Saccharomyces cerevisiae S288C: one gene and its partner. The protein of the gene in region 2 interacts with the protein of the main gene of each other region in a biochemical or structural test. Each region holds a gene or a part of one and is shown on either strand. Other genes may lie near its edges.

The links. Proteins that work in one complex are often made in the same cells at the same time.
Region 1: the proteins of PEX10 (region 2) and PEX2 form a complex in vitro, tested with the Saccharomyces cerevisiae proteins (one study listed by BioGRID).

The regions. Positions count from the first base shown.
Region 1 is NC_001142.9:35,109-38,234, forward strand, and holds PEX2 (ubiquitin-protein ligase peroxin 2), read left to right. Parts: upstream 1-1,810; coding exon 1,811-2,626; downstream 2,627-3,126. Other genes in the region: oligopeptide transporter OPT1, read right to left, coding at 1-1,141; CBP1 (Cbp1p), read left to right, coding at 2,897-3,126. UniProt on the Saccharomyces cerevisiae protein: E3 ubiquitin-protein ligase component of a retrotranslocation channel required for peroxisome organization by mediating export of the PEX5 receptor from peroxisomes to the cytosol, thereby promoting PEX5 recycling.
Region 2 is NC_001136.10:997,013-1,000,377, forward strand, and holds PEX10 (ubiquitin-protein ligase peroxin 10), read left to right. Parts: upstream 1-1,851; coding exon 1,852-2,865; downstream 2,866-3,365. Other genes in the region: palmitoyltransferase AKR1, read right to left, coding at 1-1,311; E3 ubiquitin-protein ligase HEL2, read right to left, coding at 3,092-3,365. UniProt on the Saccharomyces cerevisiae protein: E3 ubiquitin-protein ligase component of a retrotranslocation channel required for peroxisome organization by mediating export of the PEX5 receptor from peroxisomes to the cytosol, thereby promoting PEX5 recycling.

The DNA.
Region 1 (3,126 bases), on a different chromosome or scaffold from region 2:
CATACCAGGTATTCGTAAAATAAAGACATGGCAGCACTATGACGAAGAATATCAACACTGATGCATAGGTGTTGGCGGAGACGTAGAATGGTGTGGCGAAAACAGAGCCGGACATGGCTTGGGAAACCTGGGTGTAGTCAAATGTAATTGGCAACGCACCGAGACCACTTTGAGTACCAAAGATTGTGTTAGCGATGAAATTGTGTCTTGTCTTCGACCCCCATAGGATAACGTTGAAATAGGACAGACCGGTAAAGAGGAATCCAGGTACCCAATACCAGATGAACGATCCGATAAGGACGATTAAGAAGAACCTGTAACGGGGCATCGTCCAACCATTTGCGACTGTCTTTTCAACTTTTCTCGAGTGCAACGAATCAAACAAGGACACTGAAATTAAAGTCTGAGGCCAGATAGAGCTTGCAGGGTTGACGACCCATCTTCTGGTAAGACCTGCAGCACCATAACCAATCATTTGAGATGTCCAAACCAACAAGAACTGATATCCGACATTAAGTTTCATGTTGTAAAAGCTTCCCTGGGCGTTCAAAATGTACATAGCGTATGCAGTAGAGGAAGTAAGCGCCACGGCAATTGTGACCACGGCGTGTTCCTTTTTGGTAAATGGGCCCGGGTTTAAATCGAAAAATGGCACTTTAGAACACTTCCAGTCGGGCAAGAGAGCCAGTATCCTACCAATTGGGTAGCAAACAACTTGTGCAACAAGGAAGTTGATCTCTAGCGATGGATATCTCAGGGAAAAAAATTGATTAACACCGGCGAAAACTACCACAAACACCGTGGTCAAGAACCACGTTCTCCAGTGGTTGAGGCGGATGGTGGGGTCATCCTCGATGGACACCGCCGATCTCACTTCAGGATATGGAGAATTGGGCAAGTATGTAGGGTCGCCCTTCCAAACGAGACCTTCCTCCTGTATGGAATGCCTGTCGAATTTTTGGCTTTCCGGATCGCGGTCCTCCTCATCAGTAGTCGCAGTGAGATTATTGACGTCCTCGTCAATATTCTTAACGAAAGCATCTTTCTTTTCCTCTTCCATATTGATCTGGATAGGAATGGTTGTTGGCGTTGGCGAGGGCTCCGACTCCAACGAGTCGCTCTCCCTATAAATGGTACTCATGTGTTCTGTGACGTTATATAATTGTTGCGGTTATTTTCTGCCACACAGTCGAAAACTTTTTACCAAGAATACACAGCTTCCGATGATTGTCCATATATAGTCGAAACAATTCATTGAATAGCCCAAAATTTGAAAAAAAAAGAAAAATGATGGGCACCCCATGATGATAAGAGCTCTCTTTCTTCAACAACGATTGCTAAGGCGTTTACAGACCCATCGACTGCCCTTGCAGTGGGTTTGATGTGATTAACAGGCAGCAGCAACAAGCAACTGCTGAAAACCTTGGTGCCTTGCAGACGGCTATTGTCCTGGATTTTGTGTGACAAAACGTAGATGTGGCGTCTTGTAGTCGGAGGTGTGGCGGGCCGGAAAAATAGTGGAAAAAAAGAAAATTAATGCGATAGCGACGGGCAGGTAGGGAGGTTTGAGGGGTCCGTAGTATGCGTCTATCGTTGCAACAAGGGTGACTAATGCCATGTCTTGGCCTTTGATGCAACGTCTCGGAAGTTAGTATCGATCCGAGGAGTGGAACGGATGCGATTTCCCCTCCATTCTATCGATAAGGTTGCTGGGAAACGCATTATAAGGGATGAGTGAAGACGGAGGGAAAGCATAACGAGGAGAGATTGCCGAGATAACTGAGAAGACGTAATCTAAAGGCAACGCAGCATGTCTCGAGTTGCACAGCTCGACTCGATAGCGCTTGATAAAGAATTGTATGGACAGTTTTGGTCCGAGTTCAATGCAGCATTCAATACGAGTGAACACAAAGAGGAATGGGAGTTGGCACTGAACACAGTTGTGTTTATGTGCGCGACGAGGTTCCTGCCACACTATGGCTCTAGCTGTACGTATGGATCCGCACTCAGTGGCGTGGTTTTTCAGTGCAGGAAACGCACCTTGTATGTCGTCACTGTCTTGGCAGGGTACGTGTGGAAGAAGATCACACATATTATTTTTAATGGGCCGCACTGTGGGAACCAGATGATGTGGCTGAAGCTGTACAAATGGGTTAATTTATTGTATCACGGCTGTGATGTAACCAACTTCCTGAGGTTTCTAGCAGCGGAAGGGCCCAATGCGAGGGCGTTTTTGTCGCCGTTATACCGGGCTTTTAATGTCCATTCCACAAGGTTGATTCGGGATGGTTCTGCAATTGCCTCTGAATTTTATTCGAACTCTGTATTCGCTGGGTTAGAATACCAGAATAGACAATTGCTATGGAATGCACTATTAGAACTCTTTTCCAATACACTACTTACGAAAAGAGGACTCTTGACCTTTGTTAAAAAACCACCAAGGTCTCGTTCTACGACTACTTATAAGACAGTTTGCCCCCGTTGCGGCGGTTTTCCAACCAACCCATACCAGATCGCTTGTTGTCGTGCGAACTACTGTTACGTGTGCGTTGTAAAGGCGTTGGAGTGGTCTATGTGCGATGCCTGTGGATCCTCTGGGAGACTGACCGCCTCACCAGTGTACTAAAGGGCCCCGTTCCCTCGCTTGTATCTCTATATATGTGTATACTATATTCATATTCATGTTGTCAAAATCGGTCACGTGGTAAAGGGTCTGGTTTTTTTTTTTTCACTTTCTGCTCAAGAAAAAAAAGAAACAATAAAGAAGTGGTATAATATCATCATGGAACGCTGTACGGGACGATGTGGGAAGCGACGTCTGAAATCCAGTAATAATAAACAGTGAGCACTTTAGGATAGCAGTAGTTTGCATTTTGCACGTTTCCCTTTCCATGCAATGTTTTTACCTCGTCTCGTTCGGTACAGGACCGAGAGGTTTATAAAAATGGTACCTACCAGGACCTTGCGACGAATCAACCACAGCAGCAGGGATCCAATTCAAAAACAGGTCTTGGCCCTTATCAAAGCAAATGCGAATTTAAATGACAATGACAAGTTGAAAATACGGAAATATTGGTCTGACATGGCGGACTACAAAAGTCTTCGGAAACAAGAAAATAGCTTACT
Region 2 (3,365 bases):
AACAAGCTGCCCAAAAAGGTAAAATACAGAAACAAGTATTACCAGCATTAGGATGTTAGTATATTGTTCATCAGAAAATGTTCGAGGCATAACTTTGAAAAACCAAACGATAGTCACCCAAAGTAAAGTGCCAAAAAAAACACCGGATAACAAAGGTGACCTTAACAAGGTAACGTTGTGGACACCCATTCGTCCATATGACGGCAGAACGAATTTGTTCAAGCCTTTGTTAGTGGCAATGGCCAATAAAAAAAGGACAATGATTACAAACAAAGGGTTAATATGAGAGAAAAGAGCAAATGCGATTCCTAGAAATAGAAATGGCGTTATGAATGTAACGAGCTTAGCATGTTGACTTTTTTTGAACCATTTTTTAATGGGATAACCATGGTAGTCGAATCCAGAATGTGTTAGAGCCTCTCTAAGTGAGTACACAGTGTTCATTTCTTGAGCAATAGCAAAGCAATCTTTTCCGGTATCCGTTTTTTGGAAAAAATCTGCACCATCTTGAATCAAGTATTTTAGTACATGTGGTTGCCCTTTTACAGTGCCCCAGTGCAGTGGGGTGAATCCTTCTGTATCTGCGATCTTTATGCTGGCACCAAATTTCAACAATTCTGCTACAGTTAGGGAATCTCCCTGGTAAGCAGCCCATAGTAGTGAAGTTCTGCCCTTTGGGTCTCGGCAATCTATATCTAAAAGACCTTTGCTGACAACGTTGAATAAAACGTATAGAACTAGCATTATATTTGAGCTGTTCACAGATAAGTGTAGTAGATTGAAACCTTGGTCATCGGTCATGGTGGGATCAGCTCCATGCTTAAGCAAAAAATCGACAATGTACACGTACCCATACCTTGCAGCCCAATGTAATGGTGTGGCATGCAAAGCACCAGCCCTTGCATTGACATCAGCGCCTTGTGAAACTAGAAAATCCACTACAGAAAGTCTGTTATTAATACTTGCCCAATGCAAACCAGTGATATGTTCCGTAGAGTCACCGTCGTTATTAACTTCGAGCAACTTTCCATGTATCATTTCTTTGACAGTCGCTAGATCACCTCTTTGGCAAGCGGTATGGTAGCGAGTTAACAGAGGATCTTCTTCGGCCTCATCATTATGATTCACCTGCTCGTTCCCGCTTTCCTCTTCATTTCCTGATCGGATAGCCTTTAATGATGCCAACGAAGTAATTTCGTTAGAATCACCCAGACTAATATCTTCCTGTGAGTCGTTATTGCTAGGATCAACCGTTTGCTCTTCATTCGTCAAGGTCGACGCCCGTGGCACATTCTCTAATTCGTTCACCATCAATTAGCTACTCTGAACAAAGAAGTGTTTTTTTATCTAGACGAAACGGAAATGATATATTCTACTTCGTGGTTTGTAATCTACTAATCGACCGTATATATTCCTCGCTTGCACTTGTGTCTGTACATTACTTCGTTTTATAGATCGTTCAATATGAGGGTGTAATAAGAAAGTACGAAACAATGGGCTGGCTTTATCACCCGGAGTGTAGGGTACGGATGTTTGTGATCAGAGTAACCCAATGCTAAAAGTCGTTCGGAGGAATAAGCAGCAAAACGTGAATTGATAATATTATAGGAGCCAAAGTTCTAACAATGATAACGTCTCAACAGCTACATGAGCTGTCCATATGTGCATCTTCTTGCAAGTAATCAGCCGGTTTTATCACAATTTTTACCCACCGTGATAATCTGAGAGGGCGAAGTAGGTATTAGCCGTTTACATTAGAAAAATAAGGTAGTGGTAATAAAGCACACTACACATCGAAGAAAGAAACAGACACTACTACATCGGTGGGGGGTCATACAATAGAGGACCAAAATGAAGAATGATAATAAGTTGCAAAAGGAAGCACTTATGCGACTATCGCAGCTAAGATTTCCATTTGCCGATGCTCCAAGTATAGTACAAGCGCATCAAAAAGATGAACAAATCCAGGGCCTTTTGATTATGAAAGTGACTGAATTGTGCAAATTGATAAAGAGTCAATTGTTTGTTAACTCTTACCCTAAGGAACTGTCCATATTTGCCAAGCTCCTGTATTTGCTCTTTACTACAGGAAGACGTGGTAGAACGTTAGGTGAGGAATATGTTGACTTGACATACACTAATAGGAAGGGTACCAGACTTGCAGGACGGCTCAAAATGATTGTATTCGCTTTCGCTTATCCTTTATGTCCATATTTCATCACCAAACTATACAAGAAAATAATGAAGAACAACAAGGAAAGTAAAATTGAAGATACTGAAAGTGTTGCCGCGTTTTGTAAGGGCCTTTTAGATTTCATTTTAGACGTACACATGACCCTCTTTTATTTCAAAGGAGCTTTTTACAGTATTTCCAAAAGGATTTTTGGTATGAGATATGTTTTTAAACATATATTGTCAAAAAATGAGGCCAATTTTAGAGAAGAGGGCTCACAAAAGTACAAAGTATTAGGTTATATCCTATTAGCTCAAAATGTTATGAAATGGTACCCTGTCCTAACCTCTACGCTCGGGTCCTGGATTTATGGGAGAAAAAGGACCAATGATTCAATTACTAGGTCGTCTGTTGGTCTACAGGAGCGTTCAGAACATGAATCTATAGAAGGCATACCGAAGGAATCGCAGCTGACTCATATAAATTTGTCAGATAAAAACCAATTGCCATTTATTCCAGAAGCCTCGAGAAAATGCATCCTATGTCTCATGAACATGAGTGATCCTAGCTGCGCGCCATGTGGACATCTATTTTGTTGGAGTTGTCTTATGAGCTGGTGTAAAGAGAGGCCAGAATGCCCCTTGTGCAGACAACACTGTCAACCACAGGAAATTCTGGTCCTGCGGCAATAGAGGAACTAATCAATAATTTGACTACTCTTTTAGCATTGTCCACAGGCCTTTTTCAGAAATAACGCAGACGTCTGAGCAGGAGAAGTAAAACGCGAAGGGGAAATAATGCTTTTTAGTCTTGTAATTATATTAATTAATTAAATAAGTTTTTCTTTATCGGAATTTTATTTAAGACTTTCATTTCTCTAATGCTATTGTCAGTTACAGGTTAGAAATATATTTCCAACTATACACCAATGTGGAATAACAGCTGCTTTTGTTTGCCTTTCTTTTTATTTCCTCCACTAGTTGTGTTCAATTCCCTCAAATTATCGTGCACGTTAGTATCTTGTGTGCTTGACTTTTTACCCCACTGCTTAGGATCAGCAATTTGGGGTCTGTTCAGACCTGGAATTTGCACCTTTGGCTTTGGTGGAGGTAGTTGAGGTAGGTTGAGACTTTTCAATTTATCTTTGCTATTATTTAGAGAAGTAGAAGAGGAACCCTTTTTACTTTCCAAA